Linked DNA regions of Anolis sagrei. The protein of the gene in region 2 interacts with the protein of the main gene of each other region in a biochemical or structural test. Links are inferred from orthologs where the notes say so. Each region holds a gene or a part of one and is shown on either strand. Other genes may lie near its edges.

Region 1 (8,351 bases), on a different chromosome or scaffold from region 2:
GCACTATCTACCTCTGCTTCTTAAAAGATCGAAAAGGAGAGCACAGGGCCACCTTGGTCAAACACAATGTTTGTTTTTTAAAAGAACGTATTTGACAGAATCCTTGTGCAGATCCAAGAAATCATTACAGACAACCCTCCAAAAGAACAAAATGAGAAGAGGCAACTGGCAAACCACAGCCGCCTTTCACTCACATAGCCCTGCTGCTCAGACGAAGGGGCTTTCTCTCCTCTCTACTCTTTTCCAGTATTGGTATGATATTTATTGTCTTGGGACCCTTCCACACAGCCATATAATCCAGAATATCAAAGCAGATAATCCACAATATCTGCTTTGAACTAGGTTATCTGAGTTCACATTGCCGTATAACCCAGTTCAAAGTTGATAACATGGGATTTTCTGCTCTTATATTCTGGGATATAGGACTGTGTGGAAGGGCTTTTAGTCACATCATTTATATGTGATTCATGAAGGCCCACCTATTGGATTGAAACAAAATGCAGCTAAAAGGCAGATCCGATAATCTAGAACACTGCTTCTTAAATTATAGGTCTTGACCCCAAACGGGATCCCCTTTGCTCAATGTTGGGGTCAGGAAAAATTGGCAACAGTAGAAGGTTGCTGGATGCCATTCATTTCTGCAACTCTGTTAACAACAATGTGCAGTGTTTACAGTGGACTCTGCAGAAAATGCTTCAGCTATACTCCAGAAACAAGAAAATCATTCTGTTTAGAAAGCCATGCAGATATTGATTTCTTATCAGTAAAAGATTGATTTGTATGCCTATTTATATACCTACTTGCTCATATAAAAATATCTTACGTTAAAAAGGTTGTGAGAGGAAAAGGTTTAAGAAGCCCTGATCAACAAAATATTTCCAAATAATTAAACTGATTGTCCTATGGGCCTAGGAAGGGAAACAGGGTTGGTATGTATCGATTCTTCATCCCCATCACCTGTAGATTATCTGCAGGCCTCTAATAAAAGCAGCTGTGCTGCCAGCACAGAAGAAGCAGTAGCATCAGAAAGCTTGAGGGCTGCAGTGTATTGGGATATTCTACTTTGAAAATGAAAAGAAAAGGTTTTTCTTCATAAGATACATTCCCTTAAGTTGAACAGTGCAGTATCTGGAGATACCTGGATATCTTTGTGTGTGTTGCCTGTAAACTTATGGAAATCCCATAAATTTTATAGCGTTTTCCATTGCTTTCCTCTGAATAGAGCCTAAGGCAATACTGTATACATTACCACTTATGTGTATGCTGCTTTTAATCAACTTATGAATAACATACTGTTTTCATAGGCAAGGAGTACTCAGAAGTGGGTTTGTCCATTCCTTCTTCTGAAATATTGGTACAGATTACAGTTGTTGGTATTTGTTGATGATCTGCTGTCCAAGTACTAATCAGGCCTGACCCTACTTAGCCTCTAAGATCAGATGTGTTTGGGTGCCTTTAGATTACAATGAGCCCGTGGTCTCCACTAGGGCTTGGATCAAGTCCTATTATATACAGTAAAGTTGTGTCCCATACATGTCTTTTGTTTTTAATATTTTCAAGCCATGGCTGGTCAAATCTGCAAATGCAGAATTTGTGGATATGGATTGCTGACTATATTTAGGCACCTAAATAATATTGGAATCCTGTAGAATTGGCAAAGTGGTGTGTGTGTATACATAGATTGATAGCCCCTCCCCAAATGTAGACAACTTTTCACAGTTAGTAATTATGACTGCTTTATGGCTAAGGAAATATCTTTATATTGACGTATAAACATTACAATAATGATTTATTACCACTGTATGGTAATATGTTCAAATTTGTCATTCCTGTGCAGCCATTCAACTGTTCACATTGTAAAGTACATTGCTGCCAACTTCCCTTAATGTTTTGTTTATAATTGCACAACACCTTTCTACAGTGCCCAAGTTACAAATTGGAACAGGTACATTTTTAAAGTGTAATTCCAGCTGTGCATGTGCGTTTGTGTAGAGTGTGTATATGGATGTATTTTAATTTGATTTATGTCTAACTGTAATTGTATAATTGTAATTGTTTGTGCTGGCATTTAATTTTGCCATTACCTATGTGAAAACCGCTTTGAGTCCCCTCCCGGGTGAGAAAATGTTATAAATACATATATAATATATATATATGTGTGTGTATGTATATGTGTGTGTGTGTGTATAGATGGGTAATATAGAGAAGGGTTAACAATCCTGTGGAGTTTGTTTTACTATCTGTGTCCCTGTTCAGAAGATTTCCCTCCCTTTCTGTCTCTGTGGCCATTGGATTTTGGATCATTTGGTTTGTTGTGGAAACAAGGATTGGTGAGAAAGCTTCAGTGGAGACTCCCTTTCCCCATGATGACTCTTTCATGTTGGAAATGACAACCTTCTTCAAGTCTTCTCTAGCAATATATTTATCTATGATCCTGTTGCTCACAGTTATCTGTATATGTATGTTTTTCAAAAATTTCAGGAGTGATTTTCCCTTTCTAGGGGTAGATTTCTCTCACTTTCTGTTCTCAGCCCCTTTCTTAACTACAAGTTATTTGTAAGTCGAATGTTTGTAACTCAGGGACAACCTGTATTGGGATCTTTTATATATTTGGGGTAGGGGTGGCAGAGAATTTTTTTAAAATGTTGGGAAGGGGATTGCCAAAGGAAAAAAAAAAGAACTGGAATTAGACTTTTCAGAATGTATGTTTTATAAGGAAGTTGGAATAAATCTATAATTGTAAACTGTTAAAGGCTGTACATCTCTTTGTAAAAAATGAAAAAGAAATCCAGAATTATAAACTGTTAAGGGAATAGATGTTTTTTGGGGGGAAAAGGGTAAAAAAAATATCCAAAATTGCAAGTTGTTAAAGTGACATATATTTTGGCTCTAAAAATGCAAAGAAATCCCAAAATTCCAAGCTGTTAAAGGGGTATACTTGGGGGGGAGGGGAATGCCAAAAATAGAATTATGATCTGCTAAAAGTGTATACAATTTTGAGGAACACCCTGTATGTGCGCCTAGGAATTAAGTGTTTTAGATTATTCAACATGAGAAAAGTATTTTGGAGCAGACCAGCCTCTGCTTCCCTGAGATCCCCCTCCTTCTGTTAGGAGAGAGCCAATGAAGGGGACGGGGAGGGGGAAACACACGCTGCATCCGGGTCCCACTCACCTATCATTGCCAGCGGTGGGAGAAGGGGGCGCTCTCAACCCCCGTCCTTTCCGCCACTCAAGTCTGAACCTTCTGAAGACTACGCTCCCTGCAGGCCGGCCGGACTTTAGACGCAATGCTGGCGGGGGCGGGGCGGGGAACCTCGCAGTGCTTTCTGGGAAACGTAGTTCTCGCCGCCTTGCCCGCGCCTTCACCTCTTCCAGCTACTGAATTCAATGAGTAGTGTGTGTAGGTAAGGGTGTGTGTCACGTGACCAGAGCTACCTCCCCCCCCCGCCTGTGGGTGACGTCACGGCGCGTGGAGACAGCAGCCTCTTGCTTGGCCCTGTTCAATAGAAGGAAAGGAGGGGAGAGGTTGCTTTCTATACATCCTTAGCAACTTATGTTTCAATCTTATCTATTTTCACAATGTTGCACCAGCCTTGGGGATTGTCTCTTGTGTTGTCTTCCAGTTGTAGAAGTCTGTTTTTATAACATTTGTGGATTTAAAAAAAAACATTTTACCAAAAATGTATATACCTTTAAAAAGTAATATTTCAGTGTGTATATATATATATATATATATATATATTCACACACACACATATACATAAATATATTGCCAAAATCAAAGCAAAACGTTTATGCAACGTTTGCAATTCTGTGCTTCGACCATGTGATCAGTGATTGCATTGCTGCTCACTGGTGTCATTTGAACACCTTACACAAAATTGTAATTTCAGGTGGAATTTGTAGGTGACTAAGAATGCATCTACACTGTTGAATTTATGCAGAGTCACGCCACGTTAACTAGTAAAAAAGGAAAGTGGCTGAGGCTGTTAGGTATTGTGGGAGTTGAAGTCCAAAACACCCAGAGGGCCAGAGTTTTTCCATGCCAGCTCTATAGCATACTATTGAGTGGTGGTATCTGTAATTTTACAAGGTCTTTAGCTTTCTTTGCCTAAGAAAGCTGGTGCCTGCCTAAACTAAAAATCCCAGGATTTCCTAGCATTGTGCTGTGGCAGGTAAAGTGGTGTCAAACTGCATTAATTCAACTGTGCAGATGCATCCTCAATCATTATAACAACTCTTCTTCAGTATGGGTATATTTATTTCGCCTTAAAATATTCTGCATGGCTACCATTAAACAATACATACATTTCTGTGGATACTGAGTTGTCAAAGGCTTTCATGGCCAAAATCACTGGGTTGTTGTGAGTTTTCCAGGCTGTATGGCCGTGTTTCAGAGCGTTCTCTCCTGACATTTCACCCACATCTTTGGCAGGCATCCTCAGAGGTGCAAGGCCATTAAATGATAATCAAGGTGGCCAACTGCAACATTCACACTTGCTTCAAACAAAGAAGAGTTTTTCCCCCCACCCTGGGCATTCCACAGATATGTTGTTGTTTATTCATTCAGTCACTTCCATGGACCGATTCTTCATGGACCAGCCTTCGCCAGAGCTCCCTGTCCGCTGTTACCACCCCCAGCCCCACAGATATATAAACCTCAATCTGGCTAATTTCTGACAGACCACACAACCTCTGAGGATGCCTGCCATAGACGTCTCGGCAAAATGCCATACAGACCAGAAAACTCACAGCAACTCTGTGGAGATTGTTGAACTGTTAACCATTTATTGTCTTGTATTGATCATTCATCCCCCTGTCCATTATTTATAGGAACACACTTTGCAAGAGAGAAAAAAGCACATTCTCTTTGGTCCCCAAGTTTAGCAAATGTGTAAATATAAAAAGTGATGTTAGACAGCAAGGGAGAGAAGGTCAGTGACTATATTTATAGGCAGCAATGAGAGATTTACTCTCCAGAAGTCAGCCTCAAGAACAAATAAAGGATGAATGCAAAACATGTACTAAATTAGAATAATGAAAGCATTTGTGAGTGCATTAGACCTACAGATGATAATTTTAATCAGGGTGCCTAAAAATTGGGGGAAAATTATGCAACCTAGTTCTTACTTCTAAAATATTTGAATGCCTTTGCAATGAACTTTTAAAGTGTAATTTTCTTGTATCAAAATTTAAAACAATATACTAGTGAAAGGAAAAGAAGCAGAAGGCAAAATGCAATTGTTTTGGTATGTTTGGTTATATTCATCTTGTGTACATATATAATAATCAGTTCTTTAAAGCATACTGCACTTTCAACAGGTGTATATTTTTTAAGATTTTTTTATTTTTAATATGTATACATACATAGAAACAATTGAAATACAAGTATTATTTCCTCAGTCCCACGACCTCCTCATTTCCACCCGTGAATCTCCACCCTTGATTTCTCTTTACATAATACAAACGTATGAGAATACTATTGAATATTTATATCTCACTATGTTCAAGTGTTTAATTATTTTTCCCTGGTTTCTCCATCTATTCTATAGTCTAAATTCAATGCAAATAGTTTGACTATAGCTCAGAGTCTTATGATGATGTAAACCGGGATACAGGATGATGAAGAATCAAAATGAATGCTTTTGAGAACCTTAGACAGTTATATATAAGATTAATAAAACTCAACAGGTGTATATGACATATACATGGATTTTGTGTTTAGCCTTAGGTCCTAAGATGGGCTGCATCAACACATTGTAGAATTAATGCAGTCTGGCACCACTTTAATGCCATGGCTCAATGCAAGGTAATCTGGAAGGCTGTAGTTTGATGGAGAACCCGTGCTCTTTGGCAGAGAAGTCTGAAGACCTGCAGCTACAACTTCCATGATGCCACAGTATATAGCCATGGAAGAAAAAGGCTGGATCTACACTGCCATATAATGCAGCTTGAAATGCTTTGGAATACCGGCCCCAGAGAGATCAAAATGGCACTGTGATGTCTCGGCCTGTTTATTTCTCAGTTGGACTGTTCCATTTTACCAAGTTTAGGGGAGAGCTTAGGTTCCCCTAGAGGCCGAGTTCGGTTGGTGCAGCCCATTCTGACTCAGAGCCAGAATGGGCTGGTTATAGAACTTCGTTTCCCATTCTTTGTCAGTCTTAGCTTATAGATAGTTGCCAGATAGTGTCTGGTCTGGCCAAGCAATTTGAACAGGCCATCCTAATCACGTATTTGCCAAAGCTTATAGATAAATAGTAATATACATAGAATAGTTATAGCCGTATTTGCCTTAAAGTTTATAACACGTATTTGCCTTATAGATAGTATTTGCCCTAAAGTTTATAATAGATAGTTCGTAGATAGTTGTATTTGCCATAGAATAGTTATAGATAGTTAGATAGATAGTTTATAGATAATATATGTAATAAAGGATAGATAATATTTGTCATAGATAGATAGTTACATCATCCCCCATAGTGTATAGTTATATTTACCTCAGTTATACCATCATAATTAATCTTCACCTTTGTACATTGTTGTAATTCATCTTGTTTGTTTAGTAAACTCAATTTGGTTAAACTTAATCTTGTTTATAGAGTTTTATTTTGGGGGAATTATAGTAATTAGGGCATATCGATGGTCACTGGGAAAATAGCCAGACACATTTGGGTTTTTCATTAGATCTCCCTGGTGTGCCATCACAGTGATTAGGATCCTGATCGGCTTGTAGCCGATTCAAATTGCTTATAGAAAGTTATAAGAGAGAGCCCACTCCCTGCAAAGGGGGTGTGAGAGAAGAAAAAGCACTGTTTACATAGTGATTGGGAGCCTGATCGGCCTTGTGGCCGATTCGGATCGCTTATAGAAAGAAAAGAGAGAGCCCTCTCCCTCAGGGTGTGTGAGAGAAAAAGGCACTGTTTCCACTTTTCCATTGGAAAGTGTAACAAAGTTATAGGAATACTTGGGTGAAGTGTTGCTAAATTGAATACTTTTATAGTAAGGAGAGTTAGGGGCAGCTTTTAAAGTAAAAAAGCTGCCTGCCTGCCCTTTTAAAAGACATTGGAGGCTTGTTTCCTGTCAGAGAGTGAAAAGGGCAAAGCTAGCACCTGCTATTTGTCTTAAGGGGGCATTTGGCGCCAAAAGGGGTTTTTTACAGTTTGGCAGCCATTTTGTGTTCATCCTATTATAGTAACATCAGAACTGTGACAGCCTTATTGTCCCCTCAAAAAGAAGCGGCGGCCATTTTGCCTTCACCAGTATACATAGATTTCTATGGGATTTTGTGCTGATAGTGTAGAAAGAGCGGGAAAAGGTGTTTTGGCGCCTGTTCTGGCATTTTTCTGAGGAAAAGGAGTTAGAAGACTCTTATACCTATTCCAGTAAATTGTTGTTTTGCTGTTATAGTATAGGTGGTGACAGTAGGCTGTGTGAACATTTTGCCTCACACTCAGTCCTCTTCACCCACATAGAGTTGTTGCCTCAGCAACCAGCATACAACAAGAATGGATGGGCTTTCTGATGGAAGTGCAGACAGACATGTACACATTTCCCGTTCACATAGGGTTAGGCACCCCACAGAGAAGGCCCTACAGCTGTTGCTAGAAAGGGAAAGTCATTTAATTGTGAAGGCAGAAAGTGCTTGGAAACACGTGCAGTATAGCATGAACACCTTGTCAGCCTCCAGAGACCCTGAGGTAATAGCAGTGCACAAAGAAGAGCTCCAGGATAGTTTTTTACTCTGGAAAATTAGTATAGAAAGGCAACAACAAGTCCTTACAAACATCAATGATGATGATGCCCAAGCAAGACTGCAAGCATTGTCATTGGACTATCAAAGTAAAGAAAGAGAATTTAATGCCGTGCTTGAAGCTGCACAGTTTCAGCTTCAGGAATTTCAGCTGAGGGAGGCTTACTCTTTATCCCCTCCTAGAAGCCCCAAGTCCAGCAAGGGTTTCTACCCTCAGCGTCCCCTAAGTGTCAGATCACTTAGCCACCGTTCACATTCCAGTGTACATTCCAGCAAAAGTGCCTCATCTTCCCACAGTAAGATTTCTTCTGTGGCAGCTCAACATTTCAAAGAAGTTGAGAGGATGAAGCTCAAGGCGCAAATATTGCAGGCAGAAGCTGAATCGGCTATGGCTGTGAAGGAGCTAGATTTCTCTCAACTAGAAGCTAAGCAGGCTATACAGCAAGCTGAAATGGAAGCCCAGCTATCAGCTTTACAAAGCAAAAGAAATATAACTGAAAAGGCCAAGGAAGCGGCCAAGCTTGCTGTTAGGGCAAGAATTCTTGCCAAAGCTTTTCAGGATGAGTTGATTCCTGAAAATGTTAGGCTGCTGCCTCAGG
Region 2 (8,169 bases):
GGGGATGGACAGGCGGCCCTTGGAGAAAGTAACTTTTTGTCACAATCATGGTTAGAAAGGGGGGTAAAATATACAAAAAAAGAGAGAAAAATAATTGATAGAAGGAAGCAGAAGACACTTTCAAGAAGGCCTGTGAGTGTGTGAAGATAAGGCGACTGAAAATAATTGACACTTATTTGGTAAGAAGTAAATAAATCTCTGGAGAGAAGAGGACCCCCAAAAAAGTAGAAATAGCAACAAGAATACTAGCAGGAAAGATGGAGATAGTTTGCTTGGGTTGAGTGGAAGAAAATACGATGAAAGAAGGGTGAAAATACACCGCTCATCTCAAATTTAGTATCAATAGTTGTGAGGGGCTAGTGAAGACTGACTTTGAAAGAATGTAAAAAACGGAGTGAAAAAGAAGAGCAAAACATGAAGGAAAGGATTGTGCAGGTTCCCTCAACAAAGGACAATATAATAATAATACTAATAGGGAGAAGAAAGGGAAGTGAGGGAAAGAAACATACAAATCCCCAAAATGAACGTCAAACTTAGTAAGGAGGAAAAGAATAAGGCTACTAAAGAAGAGGGTGATTTTGGGGGGAAAGACAAGAATTCAAGTAGGTGAAGGAAGGAAAGAAAAACTCCCTCACATACATACACTCAAAAATAATATTTAAATAATATGAGTAGGGAAAGTGGGGGATAATAAAGAAGGCGAAGAACTGAGGGAAAGAAATGGCCAAATAAATAATGGAGAGGAAGAAAGGAAAAGGAAAGAAATGCACAGGTCCTGCCCTTCACATAAAGCCCAAATATTTAATATTTCAAACAGTTTTGAGGAGGGAAAAAAGGGAGATATTAAGAAGGTGAAGAATTAGGAAACAGGTTGGGGGGAACGAAGGGGGTGTGTGGGGGAAAATGCGGAGATTAATACAAAAATAAATAAATAAGAGAGTGAGAAAAGTGAGGGAAAGCAATGCAGATGCCACCCCAAATTGGAGATGTAAACCATGAGAGTAGAGCAAGAATCAAGAAATAAGACTGAGGGGTGGAAGAGGGGAAGAAAGGTACAAAAAAAACCCCAGAAAAGTGAGGGAATGCAACGCAGATTTCCCCTCACAAAAGCCCACAATAAAATAGGGAATAAGAAGGGAAAAGTGAGGGAAAGCAATGCAGATGTTCCCCTCACAATAACCCTCCCCAAAATGAGAAGAATGGAGTAAGAATCAAGAAAGAAGAGTGAGGGAGGGAAAGAGGGGAAGAAAGGCACAAGCACCTCCAGAAAAGTGAGGGAATGCAATGCAGATGCCACCCTCAGAAAATCCCACCCCAAAATGAAGATGTAAAGCAGGAGAGTGGAGTAAGACTCGAGAAAGAAGAGTGATGGGTGGAAGAGGGGAATAAAGGCACACACACCCAGAAAAGTGAGGGGATGCAACACAGATTTCCCCTCACAAAAGCCCACAACAAAAAGGGAGCAAGAAGGGGAAAGTGAGGGAATGAAACCAGATCTCCCCCTCACAATCCACCCCAAAATGAGGAGAATGGAGTAAGAATCAAGAAAGAAGAGTGAGGGGTGGAAGAAGGGAAGAAAGGCACAAACACCACCAGAAAAATGAGAAATGCAATGTAGAAAGGCACACACGCACACCCAGAAAAGTGAGGGGATGCAACACAGATTTCCCCTCACAAAAACCCACAACAAAAAGGGAATAAGAAGAGAAAAGTGAGAGAATGAAACCAGGTCTCCCCCTCACAATAACCCACCCCAAAATGAGGAGAATGGAGAAGGAATCCCACCCCAAAATGAAGATGTAAAGCAGGAGAGTGGAGCAAGAATCAAGAAAGAAGAGTGAGGGGTGGAAGAGGGGAAGAAAGGCACAAACACCCCCAGAAAAGTGAGGGAATGCAATGCAGATTTCCCCTCACACAAACCCACCTCAAAAGGGGGACAAGAAGGGAAAAGTGAGGGAAAGCAATGCAGATTTCCCCTCACAAATGCCCCCAACAAAAAGGGAGCAAGAAGGAAAAAGTGAGGGAATGCAATGCAGATTTCCCCTCACAAAAGCCGACAATAAAAAAGGGAACAAGAAGGGGAAAGTGAGGGAATGAGACCAGATCTCCCCCTCACAACAACCCACCCCAAAATGAGGAGAATGGAGAAAGAACCCCAGGCCAAAATTAGGATGTAAAGCAGGAGAGTGGAGCAAGAATCAAGAAAGAAGAGTGAGGGGTGGAAGAGGGGAAGAAAGGCACAAACACCCCCAGAAAAGTGAGGGAATGCAATGCAGATTTCCCCTCACAAAAGCCGACAATAAAAAAGGGAGTAAGAAGGGAAAAGTGAGGGAATGCAATGCAGATTTCCCCTCACAAAAACCCTCCACAAAAAGGGAACAAGAAAGGAAAAGTGAGGGAATGCAATGCAGATTTCCTCTCACAAAAACCCTCCACAAAAAGGGAACAAGAAAGGAAAAGTGAGGGAATGCAATGCAGATTTCCTCTCACAAAAACCCTCCACAAAAAGGGAACAAGAAAGGAAAAGTGAGGGAATGCAATGCAGATTTCCCCTCACAAAAACCCACCACAAAAGGGGTACAAGAAGGGAAAAGTGGGGGAATGCAATGCAGATTTCCCCTCACAAAAACTCTCCCCAAAATGAGGAGAGTGGAGTAAGAATCAAGGAAGAAGAGTGAGGGGTGGAAGAGGGGAAGAAAGGCACAAACCACCCCCAGAAAAGTGAGGGAATGCAATGCAGATTTCCCCTCACAAAAGCCCACCACAAGAAGGGGACAAGAAGGGAAAAGTGAGGGAATGCAATGCAGATTTCCCCTCACAAAAACTCTCCCCAAAATGAGGCAAATGGAGTAAGAATCAAGAAGGAAGAGTGAGGGGTGGAAGAGGGGAAGAAAGGCACAAACACCCCCAGAAAAAATGAGGGAATGCAATGCAGATTTCTCCTCACAAAAGCCCACCACAAAAAGGGGACAAGAAGGGAAAAGTGAGGGAATGCAGTGCAGATTTCCCCTCACAAAAACTCTCCCCAAAATGAGGAGAATGGAGTCAGAATCAAGGAAGAGTGAGGGGGTGGGTGAAGGAAAGAAAGGCACACCTGACCCACTGGCAAAAAACCCAAAATAGATGAGGAAGGAAGTGAAAGATTGGAGAGAAGAGGGTGAGGGAAAAGAAGGGAAAGAAATGCAGGAAGGAGGACTAACTAGAGGAGGAGGGAGAGGGGAGAGTCTGAGAGGAAAGGAAGGCGCGAGAGAGGCGTACTAATGGAGAGGAGGGGGCCTAGGAAGCGGCCCTGCTCGGCGCCTCCTCAGCGCGCCCCGCCGCCATGTTGGGAAGGGAAGGGAGCCGGCCTGCCTCCTCTCTCTCTCGCCCGCCCCCTTCTCCGCCCCTTCCTCGCCGCGAGGGGAGGAGCAGCAGCCCGGGGAAGCCTCCCAGGAGAGTCCCCAGCCTCCCGGGCCTAGCCTTTTGGGGGTGTGGGTGGAAGGAAAGGGGCGCCATTTTGGGAGGGGCGCTTCCTCACAGGGCAAACACACCTGTGGGAAGCCTCGCCTCAGGAAAGGGCCAGGTATCCCAGCCTCACACTCTGGATATACCACGCCTTCCTTCATTTAGCAGGGAATAGGGGATTTTTCCCACACACAAAAATGAAAAAAGTGGCTTCTAAATCACCTCACGAGGGGCAAAAATGGAATCATAGAATCCTAGAGTTGGAAGAGACCTGATGGGCCATCATCCAGTCCATCCACTGCCAGAAGGGACTGAGTTTCATCTATGCTGATGATCGTGCCATCACCGCTCAAGCAGGGAGCTTTGAGATGGTTGAACAGAAGCTCTCCGAAGCTCTAGGCACTCTTACTGCCTCTCCAAAGCTTGCTCCATCCATGTTCAATATGTACAGATATTATCAGCCACTGCCAGAAGGGACAGAGAGTTTCATCTATGCTGATGATCGTGCCATCACCGCTCAAGCAGGGAGCTTTGAGATGGTTGAATAGAAGCTCTCCGAAGCTCTAGGCGCTCTTACTGCCTCTCCGAAGCTTGCTCCATCCATGTTCAATATGTACAAACATTATCAGCCACTGCCAGAAGGGACAGAGAGTTTCATCTATGCTGATGATCGTGCCATCACCGCTCAAGCAGGGAGCTTTGACATAGTTGAACAGAAGCTTTAGGTGCTCTTACTGCCTATTACAGGGAAAACCAGCTGATCCCCAACCCATCTAAAACACAGACATGTGCCTTTCATCTCAAGAACAGAGAAGCATCCCGAGCTCTGAGGATGATTACCTGGGAAGGAAGGAATCCCACTGGAGCATTGCAGCACACCCAAATACCTGGGAGTCACTCTGGACCGTTCTCTGACCTACAAGAAGCACAGCCTGAACAGCAAGCAAAAAGTGGGCGCTAGAAACAATATCATGCAAAAACTGACTGGCACAACCTGGGGATCACAACCAGGCACAGTGAAGGCATCTGCCCTTGCGCTGTGCTATTCTGCTGCTGAGTATGCACGCCTGGTGTGGAACACATCTCACCACGCTAAATACTGGATGTGGCTCTGAATGAGACATGCCGCATTATCACGGGGTGTCTGTGTCCTACACCACTGGAGAAATTACACTGTTTGGCCGGTATCGCACCACCTGACATCCGCCGGGAAGGAGCAGCCAATAGTGAAAGGACCAAGGCAGTGACATCTCCAGCTCATCCCCTGTTTGGGTATCAGCCAGCATGTCAACGTCTTTAATCAAGATCTACAGAGACACTCACTGGAACACCCCAGCAAGTGAGAGTCCAAAAGTGGCAGGCTCAAACCCAGAACCTCATTCAATGGCTGATACCCAATGAGAGACTCCCCCCTGGGCACACAGAGGACTGGGCGACGTGGAAGGCGCTGAACAGACTGCGCTCTGGCACCACGAGATGCAGAGCCAACCTTCAGAAATGGGGCCACAAAGTGGAATCCACGACATGCGAGTGTGGAGAGGAGTAAACTCCCCTTGAAGGCGCAGGTTCGCAGCTTGGGTGTGATCCTGGACTCATCGTTAAGCCTGGAGCCCCAGGTCTCAGCGGTGACCAGGGGAGCATTTGCACAGCTCAGGCTCGTGCGCCAGCTGCTTCCTTCTATCCTTCCTTCCCTTGTTTCCTTCTTTCTCCCTTCCCTCCCTCTCCCTCCATTCCCTTCCACCCTTTCCTCCTTCCTTCCCTCTCTCCCTTCCCTTCTTTCTCCCTTCCCTTCCTTCGCTCCCTCTCTCCATCCATTCCCTTCCCCCCTTTTGTCCTTCCTTCCCTTTTGTCCTTCCTTCTTTCCCCCTTCCCTCTCTCCCTCCATTCTCTTCCATGCTTTCGTCTGTCTTTCTCCCTTCCTCCCTCCATTGCGTTGCACCCCTTTGTCCTTCCTTCCTTCCTTCCCCTTTTTCCTTCCTTCTTTCCTCCTTCCTTCCCTCCCTCCCTCCATTCCCTTCCACCCCTTTGTCCTTCTTTCTTTCCCTCTTGTCTTTTCTTCTTTCTCTCTTCTCTTCCCACTAATGCGAAGAGTTACCTGCAGAACCAGCAAGAAAAAAGCAAAGACACAACATTTTTTTTCCCTTAGCGAAAAAAACCCAACAAAATGAGATCTTTTCATTTTGGGTGTTTTCTTAAAAACAATTTACTGGGCTGCATTTAAGTACTTCCAATACAGAAAAAAAATATTTTAAAAATACCTACCATATAGTTAAGTTATACCTGGAATTGACTTTAGAAGAGTTTGCAATATCATACAAACTCTCAGCTATACCCACTGCATAGGAAAGGTAATAGTAGAGTATGTGCCGGGTTCAAATCAATGTATGGTCCATTAGGAAAGTAGGGATATTGTCAATTTACTTTTTTTGGGATTGTCTAATGAGGCTACAATCCTCCAAATTCAAGGGCCACTGGGTGTTCGCGGGAACCATAAATCCCCCAAATTAAATGGGCAATGCTCCCAGAAGTGGGTGCCTTATTGGCATAACAACACAACCATAGCGATACAAACGTCATCATTTGTGCCAAGGTGGGGCCATTGTTCTCCATGGATCCAAAAGCTCCACATAGTTTGTAGGTGGGGTCTGAGGCTGTTAGGAATTGTGGGAGTTGAAGTCCAAAACACCTAGAGGGAGGGCTGAAGTTTGCCCATGCCTGAGTAATAAGAAACACAGAGGGGACCTAAACCAATGAATCAATACTTCCAAAGTATAAAACCAACACAGTTCCATGTCTGGAGGCTATAATGTGCAAGAGTGGTAGCCCAAGGTGAAGGACAGGACACCAGAAGATGTGAAATGAGAACGAGGAGAGGTTGATCATTCTCCACCAGGCGTGTGCGTTTTGTTCTAACCGGCATCAAGAACTTCCTTCGTCAAAGAATTTCATCTGACACAATCTATAACCAAAAAGAAGTCCAACGTTCACAGGAAGGGAGAAAAGGGCAACGTCTTCTTGAAGGCATCACCCCTCCAGTTCCAGCAGTCTCTGCCGAGTCTCCAAAACGATCTCCTCCATCACCTCCGGCTTCAGTAGATCCTTGATCTGCAATAGAATGAACGGAGAAGTGATTCCAGATCTCACAATAGGAGTGCAGGTGAGTGGCAAGTACCTAGGCCAGGTGTTAAATCACCAGCAGCAATAGATATTACCAATCAAAAGGTTGGCAGTTCGAAGCCCAGGTCTGGGTGACCTCTGGACCTTCAGTTTACTGTCCACCTGAGCTGTGAGTAGAGAAATTAAGTGGGGAGATATAAAGGAAATACCAGAAAATGCCAGCGATCAAAGGAAGGAGGAAGTCTGTGATCAAGGGCTCTACATCACAGAGGATGGAGTGACAGCACCCTCCTGTGGCCGGAATCAAGCACAACCTCCAGGACGCCGAAGTTGGGAAAAATGCCGACATACTACCTCTATCTGTTGTTTGTCCTCTCTGTTTAAAGGCATTGAATGTTTGCTGTGTATGTGTTCTGTGATCTCACCTGAGTCTCCTTCGGGGTGAGAATGGCAGAATATAAATGTAAATAAATAAATAAATAAGGATGGATTTTAAATGTGTGTGCTTTGTTTACTCTCTGTTTTGCGTATTTTAATATGTATTTTATAGATACGTTTTTGTGTGTAGCTTTTATAGAGGTATGTTTTAATATGTGCATTTGTAGGTGTTTTTCAAGTGTTTACGTGTTTTAATTGGTCTGTAGCCTGGCTTGAGAGACGGGTAAGAAATTATTATTATGTATTGTCGAAGGCTTTCATGGCCGAAATCACTGGGTTGTTGTAGGTTTTTTCGGGCTATATGGCCATGGTCTAGAGGCATTCTCTCCTGACGTTTCGCCTGCATCTATGGCAAGAATCCAGGATGCTTGCCATAGATGCAGGCGAAACGTCAGGAGAGAATGCCTCTAGACCATGGCCATATAGCCCGAAAAAACCTACAACAACCCAATTATTATTATTATTATTATTATTATTATAAATATTATTTATTTATTTATTTATTATTTATTTATTATTTGCATTTATTTACCGCCACTCTCAGCCCGCATTTATAATTTTAAATATTATAATAATTGTAATTTTATTATAATATATTCTTAGTAGTAGTAGTAGTGGTAGTAACACAAGATGAGTCCACAGCAGACACTCTGCTGGCTGTTGTATTGGATCACACGTTGGACACTTCCCAAGTGTCTAGGACTGTGTGATGTATCAGCAAATAATGCGTACAGATCCCAGTAAGGTGGCCTTTTGCAGGTGGCAGATGGCAATCTTGTCAGCGCCAATTGTTTTTAAGTGCAGGCCAAGGTCTTTAGGCACTGCACCCAGTGTGCAGATCAACACTGGGACCACCTTTACTATTTTAATGATTGTTCTACTGTTTATGGATGTATTTTAATTTGATGTATGTCTAACTGTAATTGTATAATCGTAATTGTTTCTGCTGGCACTGAATTTTGCCATTACCTATGTGGAAACCGCTTTGAGTCCCCTTCGGGGTGAGAAAAGCAGTATACAAATACCGTAAATAAATAAATACTGTCCTTCCACAAACACCACTATCACCTTTTTGTCCATGTCCCAGCATTTTAACTTTACATTTGGCCTTCCCACTGTTTCTAATTTTGTGTTGTCTTATCGCTAATGTTGTATATTTTATTGTTTATG
Region 3 (7,889 bases), on a different chromosome or scaffold from region 2:
CTACAGGCAAACCTTAAATCCCAAAAACTGGTTTCGTCTTCCCCCAGGCTCTGACCTTAACTGATGAATTCTTTTTATCAAAAAGTTCATGAAAGCCTCTGGAAGCTTGCGAAGAATCCATGGAAAGTTCCTAAGTCCATTAAAGTTTATACAAGTTTTTATAAAGTTCATGAAAGTTTATAAGAACTCATAAGAGTTCATGGGGGGGGGGGGGTACATGGAAGTTCAGGGGAGCACTGAATAGTCAGACTCCATTCATAAAAACAGGAGGAGAGATAGGGGATTATGGGATCAATTCAGCCTGGTGTCCTTGGCAAAACTACAAATTCCCTGATTATGAGCTATCTTTTACAGAGTCTTGGAAGGGAAGGGGGGGGGGGGTCACCTCTGATCACAAAGTGATCATACCATCATAGAATCCAAGAGTTGGAAGAGACCTCATGGGCCTTCCAGTCCAACCCCATTCTGCCAAGAAGCAGGAATATTGCATTCAAAGCACCCCTGACAGATGGCCATCCAGCCTCTGCTTAAAAGCTTCCAAAGAAGCAGCCTCCACCACACTCCGGGGCAGAGAGTTCCACTGCTGAACGGCTCTCACAGTCAGGAAGTCCTTCCTCGTGTTCAGATGGAATCTCCTCTCTTGTAGTTTGAAGCCATTGTTCCTTTGCGTCCTAGTCTCCAGGACAGCAGAAAGGAAGCTTGCTCCTCCTCCCTGTGGCTTCCTCTCACATATTTATACATGGCCCTTATCATGTCTTCTCCCAGCCTTCTCTTCTTCAGGCTAAACATGCCCAGCTCCTTAAGCCGCTCCTCATAGGGCTTGTTCTCCAGACCCTTGATCATTTTAGTCGCTCTCCTCTGGACACATTCCAGCTTGTCAATATCTCTCTTGAATTGTGGTGCCCAGAACTGGACACAATATTCCAGGTGTGGTCTAACCAAGGCGGAATAGAGGTAGCATTACTAGCATGTGATTGTTACATTCAGGCCAGTATTTTCAAAGGCCAGTTTGCTAACTCTGTACTGTAGCTTCATTGCCACATTCCTTATTGTGATGTTATGCAACCACATTCCCTGGTTTTGGAAGAGGGGTGTGTGTATGCCTCTGTGTGTGTGTGTATGTGTGTGTGTGTTCAAGAGCCAGGGAGCCATTGCACCAGATGTTTTTCTTCTCCCGTCAGCGGTCAAGGAAGAGGCCCGATCCCCATCCCTTCCAAATGCACAGCAGGGAATGTGTTCTGGGCCCTGTTTCTTGGGAAAAGGGGGGGGGGGAATGGTTCACAGCTTGCTTCTCGATTGATGGCCAGCTGCCTGGGGAGCGAAAACAAGAGCCAGGAGCTGCCAAGGCTCTTCTGCGGAGAGAAAGGGGATGACAAAGAGAAGAGGGACAAATTCTGGGAAAGGGAATGTTTTGCATTAGTGGATCACTGTGTCAAATTAAATGTGTTGAATTAAAGCTTCCAAACCAGGCACGGGCCAACTTCGGCCCTCCCTCCAAGTGCTTACTGAAGACGTAGCCCACTGTTTAACATCTGTTGGGCCATTTGGATAGAACGGCAAAACATCCGTAATTTGGGTTGCTGTGAGTTTTCCGGGCTGCCTGGCCATGTCCCAGAAGCATTCTCTCCTGACGTTTTGCCCTCATCTATGGCAGGCATCCTCAGAGATTGTGAGGTCTGTTGCAAACTACGCAAGTGAAGTTTATATATTTATTTGTTTATTGTAGTCTCGAAGGCTTTCATGGCCGGAATCACTGGGTTGTTATAGGTTTTTTCGGGCTATATGGCCATGTTCTAGAGGCATTCTCTCCTGACGTTTCGCCTGCATCTATGGCAAGCATCCTCAGAAGTAGTGAGGTCTGTTGGAACTAGGAAAATGGGTTTATATATCTGTGGAATAATGCCCAGGGTGGGACAAAGAACTCTTGTCTGTTGGAGCTAGGTGTGACTGTTTCAACAGACCACCTTGATTAGCATTTGATTGCCTGGCAGTGCCTGGAGCAATCTTTTGTTGAGAGGTGATTAGATGTCCTTGTTTGTTTCCTCTCTGTTGTTGTGCTGTTGTAATTTCAGAGTTTTTTAATACTGGTAGCCAGATTTTGTTCATTTTCATGGTTTCCTCCTTTCTGTTGAAATTGTCCACATGCTTATGGATTTCAATTGCTTCTCTGTGTAGTCTGATATGGTGGTTGTGAGAGTGGTCCAGCATTTCTTTGTCCAGGTTGGTTCCTCAGGTGCTCTGCTATGGCTGATTTCTCTGGTTGAGGGAGTCTGCAGTGCCTTTCATGTTCCTTGATGCGTGTTTGGGAAATGCTGCTGCGTTTGGTGGTCCCTCTGTAGACTTGTCCACAGAAGCATGGTATCCGGTAGACTGATGCAGAGGTGAGAGGGTCCCTCTTGTCCTTTGCTGATCCCTCTTTGTCTTTTGCACTTTCATAGAATCATAGAATCAAAGAGTTCGAAGAGACCTCCTGGGCCATCCAGTCCAACCCCATTCTGCCAAGAAGCAGGAATATTGCATTCAAATCACCCCTGACAGATGGCCATCCAGCCTCTGTTTAAAAGCTTCCAAAGAAGGAGCCTCCACCACACTCCCTCCGGGGCAGAGAGTTCCACTGCTGAACGGCTCTCACAGTCAGCAGTTCACTACTATTGGAGAATTGCAAAAACTGCAAAACAAACCTCTATACAATTATTATTATTATTATTATTATTATTATTATACTCAACAGGTTCCTGGACCATCTGAACAGCATCCACCCAAACATCCAGTTCACTATGGAAAAAGAAAATGAAGGAAGACTGCCTTTCCTAGATGTCCTAGTCATCCGCAAACCAGATCAACAATTGGGTCACACTGTCTACAGAAAACCCACACACACAGATAGATATCTACATAAAAACTCCAACCATCACCCAAGTCAAAAAAGAAGCACCATCAAAGCCTTGGCAGACCGTGCCAAAAGAATCTGCGAAGCCCACCTCCTCCAAGAGGAACAGAACCACCTCAACTGGGCTCTCCAGGCCAATGGAGACTCCACCTCAGACATCAGAAGAGCGGCAAGACAACCGAGAAGAAGCCACGAGAGTCAAGATGAAGATCCACCCAGAGGAAAAGTGTTCCTGCCAGACATCAAGGGAACCACTGACCACAGAGGGAAGCTGATGAGGAAACACAACATACAAACAATCTACAAACCCACCAAGAAAATCCAACCAATGCTCCGTTCAGCAAAGGACAAGAGGGATCCTCTCACTTCTGCAGGAGTCTACCGTGTACCATGCAGCTGTGGACAAGTCTCCATCGGGACTACCAAACGCAGCAGCATTGCAGACTAGGTCAACCAGAGAAGTCAGCCATAGCAGAGCACCTGAGGAACCAGCCTGGACACAGCAGATTGAGAACACAGAAATGCTGGACCACTCTCACAACCACCATGCCAGGCTATACAGAGAAGCCATTGAAATCCACAAAAAGCATGTGGACAATTTCAACAGAAAGGAGGAAACCATGAAAATGAACAAAATCTGGCTACCAGTATTAAAAAACTCTAAAATTACAACAGCAAAACAGCAGAGAGGAAACAACCAGGCACATCTTAACACCTCTCAACAAAAGGTTTTCCCAGGCTCAGGCAGGCCTTCACATGGTAATGAAGGTAATCAGCTGAAACATTCACACCTAGCTCCAGCAGAGAAGAGCTCTTTGCCCCACCCCAGCCATTCCACAGATATCTAAACCCATTTTCCTAGTTCCAACAGACCTCACACCTCTGAGGATGCTTGCCATAGATGCAGGTGAAACGTCAGGAGAGAATGCCTCTAGAACATGGCCCTATAGCCTGAAAAAACCTACAACAACCCAGAGATTCTGGCCATGAAAAGCCTTCGACAATACATTATTATTATTATTATTATTATTATTATTATTATTATTATTATCCCAATCTGATGGCCATTCTTGTGCTTTCCATATTTGCTGGATTATGCCATGCAGCACCTATGAAACATAAATAAGAGCATATATACAAAGAACCCCATTGGCTGGCGAGTGCCCACTGGTGGGCAGCCTTCATAATTGCAAAAGCTCCCTCCAAAAAAGTTCTTCCTGCGCATGCGCCACAACTACCCCCCCCGCCCCCCCAAATACCTGTCCTCACCTGCCAAGCTTCCTTTTCTTGGAGGGAGGGGTGGGTTTTCCCCTCGTTAAGCTCAGGCACTAAAGCAACTTGGGCCCTCCCTATCTCCCTCCCTCCAGGTGTTTTGGACTCCAACTCCCACCATTCCTAACAGCCTACCGGCTGTTAGGAATGGTGGGAGTTGGAGTCCAAAACACCTGGAGGGAGGGCCCAGGCTTGCACCAAAGCGTCCCAGGCACTCTGCACATGCCCAGAGGCGCCCTGTGTGTGTGTGTGTCCAGTGACGCGCCTGGAGGGAGGGGGGGAGGAAGCCCCTCCCCTTCCGAAGAGGCTCTCTGGGGCGGGGCGGCTCCTGCTTCCGATTCCACCCGCGGGAGTGGCTGGTGTGGCTGCTACAGTGTGTCTGTCTTCCCGGTGCCTTGCTCGCTCTCTCTCTCTCTCTCTCCGGATATGGACCCCCCGGTGAAAGCCGGGACCCTCCTGGTCCAGCAAACGGCGGGACTCCGCCTGGGCGCCAAGGTCAGAGGAAGAGGAAGGAGGAGGAGGAAGAGTTGGGGAAAAGTTAGGAAAGTTTGGAGTTAGGAGAGTTAGGAGAGGGGGAGGAGGAAGACCTAGAGGTGCTTTCTGCCAAACTTAGGGAGAGGAAAGGGAGGAGGAGGAAGGAGAAGAGGAAAAGGAGGAGGAAGAGGAAGAGTTGGGGAAGTTTTGTGCTCAAGTTAGGGAGAGGAAGAGGAGGAGGAAGAGGAAGAGCTGGAGGTGTTTTCTGCCAAACTTAGGGAGAGGAAATAGAGGAGGAGGAAGAGTTGGGGAAGTTTTGTGCCCAAGTTAGGGAGGGGAAGAGGAGGAGAAAGGAAAAGGAGGAGGAAGAGCTGGAGGTGTTTTCTGCCAAACTTAGGGAGAGGAAATGGAGGAGGAGGAGGAAGAGGAAAAGGAGGAGGAAGAGTTGGGGAAGTTTGGTGCCCAAGTTAGGGAGGGGAAGAGGAGGAGAAAGGAAAAGGAGGAGGAAGAGCTGGAGGTGTTTTCTGCCAAACTTAGGGAGAGGAAATGGAGGAGGAGGAGGAAGAGGAAAAGGAGGAGGAAGAGTTGGGGAAGTTTGGTGCCCAAGTTAGGGAGGGGAAGAGGAGGAGAAAGGAAAAGGAGGAGGAAGAGCTGGAGGTGTTTTCTGCCAAACTTAGGGAGAGGAAATGGAGGAGGAGGAGGAAGAGGAAAAGGAGGAGGAAGAGTTGGGGAAGTTTGGTGCCCAAGTTAGGGAGGGGAAGAGGAGGAGAAAGGAAAAGGAGGAGGAAGAGCTGGAGGTGTTTTCTGCCAAACTTAGGGAGAGGAAATGGAGGAGGAGGAGGAAGAGGAAAAGGAGGAGGAAGAGTTGGGGAAGTTTGGTGCCCAAGTTAGGGAGGGGAAGAGGAGGAGAAAGGAAAAGGAGGAGGAAGAGCTGGAGGTGTTTTCTGCCAAACTTAGGGAGAGGAAATGGAGGAGGAGGAGGAAGAGGAAAAGGAGGAGGAAGAGTTGGGGAAGTTTGGTGCCCAAGTTAGGGAGGGGAAGAGGAGGAGAAAGGAAAAGGAGGAGGAAGAGCTGGAGGTGTTTTCTGCCAAACTTAGGGAGAGGAAATGGAGGAGGAGGAGGAAGAGGAAAAGGAGGAGGAAGAGTTGGGGAAGTTTGGTGCCCAAGTTAGGGAGGGGAAGAGGAGGAGAAAGGAAAAGGAGGAGGAAGAGCTGGAGGTGTTTTCTGCCAAACTTAGGGAGAGGAAATGGAGGAGGAGGAGGAAGAGGAAAAGGAGGAGGAAGAGTTGGGGAAGTTTGGTGCTCAAGTTAGGAAGAGGAGGAGGAAGAGGAAAAGGAAGAGTTGGGGAAGTTTGGTGCTCAAGTTAGGAAGAGGAGGAGGAGGAGAAAGAGGAAAAGGAAGAGTTGGGGAAGTTTGGTGCTCAAGTTAGGAAGAGGAGGAGGAGGAGAAAGAGGAAAAGGAAGAGTTGGGGAAGTTTGGTGCTCAAGTTAGGAAGAGGAGGAAGAAGAGGAAAAGGTGGAGGAAGACCTAGAGGTGTTTTCTGCCAAACTTAGGGAGAGGAAAGGGAGGAGGAAGAAGAAGAGGAAAAGGAGGAGGAAGAGTTGGGAAGTTTGGTGCCCAAGTTAGGAGAGGAGGAGGAGGAAGGGGAGGAGGAAGACCTAGAGGTGCTTTCTGCCAAACTTAGGGAGAGGAAAGGGAGGAGGAGGGAGGAGAAGAGGAAAAGGAAGAGTTGGGGAAGTTTGGTGCCCAAGTTAGAGGAGGAGGAGGAGGAGGAAGACCTAGAGGTGCTTTCTGCCAAACTTAGGGAGAGGAAAGGGAGAAGAGGAAAAGGAGGAGGAAGAGTTGGGGAAGTTTGGTGCCCAAGTTAGGGAGAGGAGGAAGAAGGGGAGGAAAGGGAGGAGAAAGCGTTGGGAAAGTTTTCGGATAAAGTTAGGAAGAGTGAGAGGAGGAAGAAGGAGAGGGAGGAAGAGGAGGAGGAAGAGTTGGGGAAGTTTTCTTCTGCTGTTAGGAAGAAGAGGAGAAAGGAGGGGAGGAAGAGAAGGAGGAGAAAGAGCTGGAGGTGTTTCCTTCCAAACTTAGGGAGAGGAGGCAGAAGAAGAAAAGGAGGAAGAGTTGAGGAAGTTTTCTTCTGATGATAGGAAGAAGAGCAGAAAGGAGGGGAGGAGGAGGAAGAGCTGGAGGTGTTTCCTGCCAAATTTAGGAAGAGGAAAGGGAGGAGGAAGGGTTGGGGAATTTTTATCCCAAAGTTAGGGAGAGGAAGAAGAAGAGGAGGAGGAGGAAGAGTTGGGGAAGTTTTGTGCCCAAGTTAGGGAGAGGAGGAGGAGGAAGAAGAGGAGGAAGAGGAAGAGCTGGAGGTGTTTTCTACCAGACTTAGGGAGATGAAAGGAAGGAGGAAAGGGAGGAAATGTTTGGGAAGTTTTTTGCTAAAGTGAGGAAGAGGATGGAGGAAGAGGAGGAAAAGTTAGGGAAGTTTTGTGCCAAAGTTAGGGCAAGAAGGAGGAGGAAGAAGAAGAGGAAGAGGAAGAGGAGGAAAAACTGGAGGTGTTTTCTGCCAAACTTAGGGAGAGAAAAGGGAGGAATATGGGGAGGAAAGGGAGAAAGCATTGGGGAAGTTTTCTGCTAAAGTTAGGAAAAGTGAGAGGAGGAAGAAGGAGAAGAAGTGGAGGAGGAAGAGCTGGGGAAGCTTTATGCCCAAGTTAGAGAGAGGAAGAGAAAGAAGGAGAGGAGGAAGAATTGGGGAAGTTTTCTGCTAAAGTTGGGAAGAGGAGGAAGAGGAAGAAGTACAGAAAGAGGAAGGAGGGGATGAAGAGGCGGATGAGGAGAGGAAGTTCTAATCTGAATTTTGCCAAAGTTGGGGAGAGGAGGAGGAGGAGGAAGAGCTGGAGGTGTTTCCTGCCAAATTTAGGGAGAGGAGGAGGAGGAACAAGAAGAGGAAGGAGAGGAAGAGCTGGGGAATTTTTATGCCGGAGTTAGGGAGAGGAGGAAGGGGAGAAAGAGGAGAGCTGGAGGTGTTTCCTGTCAAACTTAGGGAGAGGAGGAGGAGGAGGAGGAAGAGTTAAGGAAGTTTTCTTCTGAAGTTAGAAAGAGGAGGAAGAAGAGGAGAAGGGGGGGGGGAGAAGAGGAGGAGGAAGAGTTGTAGGTGTTTTCTGCCAAACTTAGGGAGAGGAGGAGGAGTGGGAAGAGTTGGGGAAGATTTCTGCTGAAGTTAGGAAGAGGAGGAAGAAGAGGAGGGGGGGGGAGAAGAGTAGGAGGA
Region 4 (7,847 bases), on a different chromosome or scaffold from region 2:
GAGAAGATGAAAGACCTTGTAAAACTTCAGTTCCTATGGCCCCTTCCTTCTACACTGCCATATAATCCAGATTATGAAATCAGATAATCTACATTATTTGCTTTGAACCAGATTATCTGAGTCTACACTGCCATATAATCCAGTTCAAAGCAGATAATCTGGATTTTATATGTCAGTGTAGAAGGGGCCCAAGGACCCTTCCACACAGCTGTGGAAAATCCAATTTGTTCTGGAATATATGGAAGTGTGGACTCGGGGCCCTACCATACAGCCATGTAACCCAGAATATCAAGGCAGGAAATCCCACAATATCTGAGTGTAGACTCAGGGCCCTTCCACGCAGCCCTAAAACCCAGAATATAACAGCAGAAAACCCCACATTATCTGAGTGTAGACTCAAATAACTCAGTTCAAAACAGATATTGTGGGATTTTCTGCCCTGATATCCTTTGGCACCAAAACATAGGGCTGTGTGGAAGGGCCCTGAGTCCACATTGCCACAAATCCCAGTACAAAGCAGATAATGTGGGGTTTTATTCAGCTGTGTGAAAGGGGCCTCAGATAACCCAGTTCAAAGCAGGTATTGTGGGATTTTCTGCCTTGATATCCTGGGATAGAGTGCTGCATGGAAGGGCCCTGAGTCTACATTGCCATAAATCCCAGTACAAAGCAGATAAGGTGGGGTTTTATTCAGCTGTGTGGAAGGGCTTCAGATAACCCAGTTCAAAGCAGATGGCTGTGTGGAAGGGCCCTGAGGATCCTTCCACATAGTCCTATAGCCCTGAACATCAAGGCAGAAAATCCCGCAATATCTACTTTGAACTGGTCATCTGAGGCCCCTTCCACACAGCTGAATAAAATCCCACATTTTCTGCTTTGAACTGGAATATATGGCAGTGTGGACTCAGACAACTCAGTTCAAGGCAGATATTGTGCTATTTTTTGCCTTGATATCCTGGGATATAGGGCTGTGTGGAAGGGCCCTGAGTCCACACTCAGATAATGTGGGATGTTCTGCCTTGACATTCTGGGTTGCATGACTGTGAGGAAGGGCCCTGAGTGCCTGGTTGGGAAGAGACCCCGGGGATTCTGGGCTTTGTCTTTTCAAGGGACAGAGCAGCAAGTCCCAACAGATGCGCCTCCCGGGTCAGGGGTGGGATGGAGGGGTTCCAGCCTTGGCCCTCCTCTATCACAGCCTCAACAGGTGCCCTTTGAGAACTGAACCAAAAGCCTTCCGAAAGACAGGCAGGCAGGCAGGCAGGCAGACTCCACAGGCAGGCAGACTCCACCCGCAGGCAGAGAGCTGCAAAGCTGGCGGAACAAGATCTCATGGATTCCTAAAAGTTTGCCTTGGAAGTTTCTGCTGCGGGTTTTGGGGGGGGGGGGGGTGCGAGAAAACATGCTCGCAGTCACACATGCCACGCCTTCTAATTTATTTATTTCCAGTATTTCTATCCCATTCCTTCTCAACCCCCAAAGGGGAACTCGGGACAGCTTACATTTGGCAGCAATTTGATACCACTACATATAGCACAGCAATATAATCACAATTCAAACAATAAGTAAAACATTCATTAAAACAGCATAAAAAAGTATGAACAGCCATAACATAATTCCAGCCAATTCCATATCCAAAGTGCCATGACTTCAATTTCTTCCTAAATGACAGGAGGGATGGAGCTGATCTTACCTCAGTGGGAAGCAAGTTACACAGGCAGGGGGCCACAGTGAGAAGGCCCTGTCCCTCATCCTCGCCAGACATATTTGTGATGCTGGCAGGAGCGAGAGCAGGGCCTTCCTGGATGATCTTACCTCAGTGGGAAGCGAGTTCTATGGGCAGGGGGCCACAGCCAAGAAGGCCCTGTCTCTCGTCCCTGCCAGACATATTTGTGACGATGGCAGGAACGAGAGCAGGAGCCCCCGGGATGATCTTACCTCAGTGGGAAGCGAGTTCCACAGGCGGGGGGCCACAGCCAAGAAGGCCCTGTCTCTCGTCCCTGCCAGACATATTTGTGACGATGGCAGGAATGAGAGCAGGAGCCCCCGGGATGATTTTACCTCAGTGGGAAGCAAGTTCCACAGGCGGGGGGCCACAGCCGAGAAGGCCCTGTCTCTCGTCCCCGCCTGACGTATTTGCGACACTGGTGGGAGCGAGAGCAGGGCCTCTCCGGATGATCTTAAATTGCGAGGCAGGACGTAGAGGGAGATGTGTTCAGACAAGTAAGCTGGGTCAAGTAGGTCAAAACCAGCAGAGGATGCTTGCCATAGATGCAGGCGAAACGTCAGGAGAGAATGCCTCTAGAACATGGCCATATAGCCCGAAAAAAACCTACAACAACCCAGTGATTCCGGCCATGAAAGCCTTCGACAATACTTTGAATTGAGCTGGGAAGTGGACCGCCAGCCAGTGGAGCTGACACAACAAGGGGGTGGTCTGCTCCCTTCTAACCCTCGGAGGGCATCTGCCCCAATGCTGAATGAACGCACTTAAGGCTCCAATTAAACTCCCCTTAGTGTTAATTCGACCATACAGATGGACAATCGAGTCCAAAGCCGTCACGTTTGAGCGAAACCTAGGATCAACCGAAAGTAGAGAGAGAGATAGACACAGAGAGAGACTCAAACACCTGGTCTCGGATTTCCAGGAAGAGCAAGACCAAAACCAAAACCAGTCCTGCCCTGATCAACGCGCCCGCGGTGAAAATAGATCTTAAATGAACATCCATACACTTGTTGTTGTTGTTGTTGTGTGGTCTTACCTGCTTGAGAGGCGGCGGGCAGCAGGAACCCCGCGAGAGAAAGCAGCCCCAGGAGGAGACCTGGCCCCGGGAGGCTCTGCCTCATGGCTGAACGGGGATTGGGACTCTTTCAGGTGCTGCCTCCGCTTTCCTTCCGCATAGGCGGCTCTTTCCTCCTCTTTCGGGATGAACAAGAGTCCGGAGCCACTTGATCCCCGAGGAAAAGGTCTCAGTCGGCCATCGCCGCCTCCTCCTCCCTCTCTTCTTCTTCTGTTTCTTTTTCTTTGGGGCCGGATCTCTTTCTGGCCCCCAGATCCCGCTCAGCGCACAGACTTTGATCCGCTCCCCTTTACGCACCACAACTCACTAATTGCACACACTTCATTCAAGGGGAAGCCGAGCTCGCGCCTCATTGGCTGGGACTGCGCCGCGCTCTGACCAATCAGAGGGAAGCCAGAGGGAGCTCCAGAATCCAGGAATGGAAAGAGAGTGTGTGTCATAGAAAAAACCTACAACAATCCAGTGTCATAGAATCTATCTATCTATCATCTATCTGTCTGTCTGTCTGTCTGTCTGTCTGTCTGTCTGTCTGTCTGTCTGTCTGTCTGTCTATCTATCTATCTATCTATCTATCTATCTACCTACCTACCTATCTAAAATGTAATGTTCGTTTGTGGGATTAACATAACTCAAAAACCACTGGACGAATTGCCGCCAAATTTGGACACAAGACACCTACTAACCCAAATAGTGACCATCACTCAAAATAATTGATTTTGTCATTAAGGAGTTGTAGTTGCTGGGATTTATAGTTCACCTACAATCAGAGCATTCTGAACTCCACCAATGATGAAACTGAACCAAACTTGGCACACAGAACTCCCACGACCAACAGAAAAAATTGGGAGGGTTTGGTGGGCACTGACTTTGAGTTTGGGAGTTGTAGTTCACCTACATCCAGAGAGCACTCTGGACTCAAACAATGCTGGATCTGGACCAAACTTGACATGAACATTCCATATGCCCAAATGTGAACACTGGTGGAGTTTGGAGGAAATAGACCTTGACATTTGGGAGTTGTAGTTACTGGGATTTATAGTTCACCTACAATCAAATAACATTCTGACTCCCACCAACGACAGAATTGGGCCAAACCTCCTACACAGAACCCCCATGATCAACAGAAAATACTTAAGGCCATCCAGTCCCTTCACCAAGGCAAGAAAACGTAATGAAATCCCTCCTGAGAAAGAGCCATCCAGCCATAGATATAGATAGATATATATGATTCACACACACATATAGTCTCGTAGATTTGAAAGGGACCCCTAAAGAAGGACAATGATATGTTGCATTTTCTAGAGGAGGCAAACCAGGCCATCTCCACATCAACACTGACAAAGAAACAGCAAGAAATAAAGAAATACTGTCTACCCACAAGCACAAAAATATTACAAGTATTTCTCTTTACTTTTCCAGATCACCAGACTGGGCCACAGCAATGTGTGGCAGGAGACTGCTAGTCATAGAATATCAGAGTTGGAAGAGACCTCGTGGGCCATCCAGTCCAACCCCATTGTATCACAAAATCACAAGTCGAAGCGTCTAGGGCTGTGTGATGTATTTTCAAAGATGTGTGCAGATCCAAGTAAGGTAGCCTTTTGCAGTTGACAAATCGTGATTTTGTCGATGATGATGATGACGACGACGACGATGATGATGATGATGATGATGATTATTATTATTATTATTATTATTATGCTTTTATTGTGTGTTTCTGCATGGCACCCGGTTGGACTGGATGGCCCCTGTGATCTTTTGCATTATTATTATTATTATTATTATTATTATTATTTGTATCTTGCTGTTCTTCCAGGACTTAAACTCAGAATAGCTCTCAGCCTTAGAAACTACACAGTTTGAAAACCTACAAAATACAAATATTAAAATAGAATTAAATATTGTAATTATTAAAACAATAAACCTGTTAAAATGATTCCAGAGGTTGTGAGGTCTGTTGAAAACTAGAGAAGTGGGGTTTAGTTTCCAATCACACCTCTGAGGATGCCTGCCATAGATGTGAGAGAAACATCAGGAGAGAGTGCTTCTGGAACATGGCCATACAGCCCAGAAAACTCACAGCAACCCAGTGATTCCGGCCATGAAAGCCTTCCAACAAACCATTATGACACAAATGTTTATATATAAAATAATCTACCCAACAATCTGACCTTCTGGCCACTTTATGGGTTTCCCTAAAACGCTGTTATGATGACAGCCTGAATTTTGGCATTTACCATTATACTGGCATGAAAACAGCAGGAGTCTGTCAACACCTCAAACTACATTTAGAGCAGATGAGGCTAAACTACACTTCCCAGGACTCTATCACTCTTAGTTTAAAAACAAGAGAAGACTCTCGTACCTTTAATGATTGTACAGATGAGCGAATTTCATGCAGAGGCAACATCTGTTGAAACTCCCTCCATCTCCATTTCTAAGCTGAAGAGCCGGCCTTGTCCGTAGACACCTCCAAGGTCATGTGGCCAGCACATTTACATGTTTTCAAACTGCTAGGTTGACAGGAGCTGGGGCTTACAGTGGGAGTTCACATCGCTCCCTGGATTCAAACCTGCAACCTTTTGATCAGCAAGTTCAGCAGCTCAGCAGCTTAAACCACTGTGCCACCGGGGGCTCCAACCATAGTCTGTGAGTATATACCAGAGTAGGCAAGGAAGCAGGAGGATAACAATCAAGGCTGAACCATGAAGTGTGAACCACAAAGCCACAACTATTTGGGGGAAAGGAAGTTCTCTACGCTTCATTGAGGTTAATGTGGAGAGTTTGGACATTTGTTAGCAGTGCTTGATTTTTTTTTCAAAGGGTGAATGATGTCTGTATCGGAGCAGAAAGATGTCTAACTTCTCTGTTGCTCTCAAGCTGAAACTCAATACATATTTATTTAGAAGCAAGTCCCACTATGTTCACTTGAGTAGACATGGATAGGATTCCACTGGCTAAAGCCTAAAAGAGCTTCTTGCCACAGCTGTTCGTACCAAAGTGCAGAACATGTTTTGAAAATTAAACAGAGCTATGTTTCTAATTGTTTGCATCAAACTGAAATATGTGAAAGCAGTGCACCAGCAACAGGGATACAGTTAACGTTAATTTACAAGTAAATTACGAATGCAGAGCAATAAGAAACATTCATGAATTATTTCCTAACCCTAACACTACTGAAATGTTTGTTTTCCTACAACTCCTCAAAGGGAAATAAATTGTAGTACATAAGCAGAGGGGAAACTGAATGCTGTCCAAGGCAATGGAATACTTCAACACTTTATTTATATTCTTCTTTATGTCTTCGGAGGGACTCAGAGCAGACTACTGTATACACATATAAGGCAAACATTCAATGCCTTTTACCCAGTGAACAACAACGACATACAATACACAGACACAGGTAAAAGTTTTTCCTTTTCATTTCCAGCGTCTGGAAGCGATGCTCAACTCCAACCATGGGGAGGTGCTCTTGTTCCATTTTTCCATGCCAAGGAGCCTGTTGTCCGTAGACATCTCTAATTGTGTTTTGCCGGCGCCCTTTTACCTTCCCACATGCTTTTGAACTGTTAGGTTGGCAGAAGCTAGGGCTGACAGCAGGAGCTCACCCCGACTTGCGGCTTCAAACTGCCAACTCTCCAGTCAGCAGATTTCTTGCAGCTAGCTGTTTAACCCGCTGCGCTACTGTGGCCCCATAGTATTAGCTGAGTACTATGGGTGCATCTATACTGTAGAATAATTCAACTGTACATCACTTTAGTTCAATGCTATGGAATCTTGGGATTTGTAGCTTGATGAGTATCAAGTGTCCTGAAATGTGTTCAGTCCCAGAATTTTGGAGTCACTAAAGCAGGCATGGGCAAACTTGGGCCGTCCAGGTGTTTTGGACTTCAACTCCTACAATTCCTAACAGCCGGTAGGGAGTTGAAGTCCAAAACACCTGGACGGCCCAAGTTCGCCCATGCCTGCCCTAAGACCTTTATTCTCTTTTAAAAACAACCTTCAAGTTGAGACCCATTCCTCATTGTGGCCACCTTGAAGTCCTGCCTAGGCACTGATCCGGAGATCAAAAACTCAACCCACTGTTGTCCACCCTGTTTCTTAAAACCTTGCTGCGTTTTAACCCCTGCTTTCTCTCCACTCCACCCAGAGAGTGAGTCACACACAGGAAACGGGTGACACAAAAGAGGAAAAGGTTACCTTGACCTAATTAGGACCTTGGGCTCTCCTTCAGCCCAGAATTCAGTCTAAACAAGCCTCACAGAAGATGCCAGGCAGGCAAGGAAGGTGTCAGTGGCCCTCCAGATGCTATTAAGATGCAACGCCTATCATCCACCACCATCTGCGATGCTGATCTGGTCCAACATCCAAAGGGCCACAAATTGCCACTGGTTTAAGAGGCATCATTATTTTATAAGACATTTAAGTGTTCACGTTTTTTGAATAGTCTTGTACTCATAAGCTTTGGGGTTCCTCCCTTTTGCTTCGCCCAGTCTTTCCCAAATAGTTTCCAGTCTATTTTCCTGTTCTACCTTCTTGTAATTCTTCCTTCCCAACTACCTTATGTTTTTGTTCTAATATAGTACACAGAGCTAGGACACAAGGAAACATTCTCTCCCTGTTAAAATATTATAATAACCACCCTTGCCAATTGGAATGTAGCTCCTTAGGATGGGATTGGGAATGAGACAGGAAAGGCACCTGTGGCCACCCTCTGGCGCCCCCCTGTGGTTATAAACTGGAATTACCATCCTAAAGTCAACATCCTAAAAATAGTCAAAATTACTGCAACATACTGGCAACAAAGATCCGCATAGTCAAAGCCATGGTATTCCCTGTAGTAACCTACGGATGTGAGAACTGGACCTTAGAGAAGGCTGAGCAAAGGAATATAGATGCTTTTGAGGAAAGTTCTGAGAGTGCCTTGGACTGCGAGAAGATCCAACCAGTCCATACTTCAGAAAATAAAGCCCGGCTGCTCATTGGAGGGAAGGATACTAGAGACAAAGTTGAAGTACTTTGGCCACAGCATGAGGAGACAGCAAAGCC

What was found.
Region 1: the proteins of ABL1 (region 2) and PRKN form a complex in vitro, tested with the Homo sapiens proteins (2 studies listed by BioGRID, with this or other methods). The link is inferred for Anolis sagrei from reciprocal best matches to the Homo sapiens genes ABL1 and PRKN.
Region 3: the proteins of ABL1 (region 2) and DOK1 form a complex in vitro, tested with the Homo sapiens proteins (5 studies listed by BioGRID, with this or other methods). The link is inferred for Anolis sagrei from reciprocal best matches to the Homo sapiens genes ABL1 and DOK1.
Region 4: the proteins of ABL1 (region 2) and ERBB3 form a complex in vitro, tested with the Homo sapiens proteins (2 studies listed by BioGRID and IntAct, with this or other methods). The link is inferred for Anolis sagrei from reciprocal best matches to the Homo sapiens genes ABL1 and ERBB3.

What each region holds. Positions count from the first base shown.
Region 1 is NC_090021.1:66,822,890-66,831,240, reverse strand, and holds the start of PRKN (E3 ubiquitin-protein ligase parkin), read right to left. Parts: upstream 3,408-8,351; 5' UTR 3,182-3,407; coding exon 3,175-3,181; intron 1-3,174. UniProt on the Homo sapiens protein: Functions within a multiprotein E3 ubiquitin ligase complex, catalyzing the covalent attachment of ubiquitin moieties onto substrate proteins. Substrates include SYT11 and VDAC1.
Region 2 is NC_090031.1:2,821,738-2,829,906, forward strand, and holds the start of ABL1 (tyrosine-protein kinase ABL1), read right to left. Parts: upstream 3,361-8,169; 5' UTR 1-3,360. Other genes in the region: EXOSC2 (exosome complex component RRP4), read right to left, coding at 6,469-6,549. UniProt on the Homo sapiens protein: Non-receptor tyrosine-protein kinase that plays a role in many key processes linked to cell growth and survival such as cytoskeleton remodeling in response to extracellular stimuli, cell motility and adhesion, receptor endocytosis, autophagy, DNA damage response and apoptosis.
Region 3 is NC_090025.1:3,737,780-3,745,668, forward strand, and holds the start of DOK1 (docking protein 1), read left to right. Parts: upstream 1-4,469; 5' UTR 4,470-4,588; coding exon 4,589-4,657; intron 4,658-7,889. UniProt on the Homo sapiens protein: DOK proteins are enzymatically inert adaptor or scaffolding proteins. They provide a docking platform for the assembly of multimolecular signaling complexes. DOK1 appears to be a negative regulator of the insulin signaling pathway.
Region 4 is NC_090022.1:146,696,605-146,704,451, reverse strand, and holds the start of ERBB3 (receptor tyrosine-protein kinase erbB-3), read right to left. Parts: upstream 3,109-7,847; 5' UTR 2,845-3,108; coding exon 2,760-2,844; intron 1-2,759. UniProt on the Homo sapiens protein: Tyrosine-protein kinase that plays an essential role as cell surface receptor for neuregulins.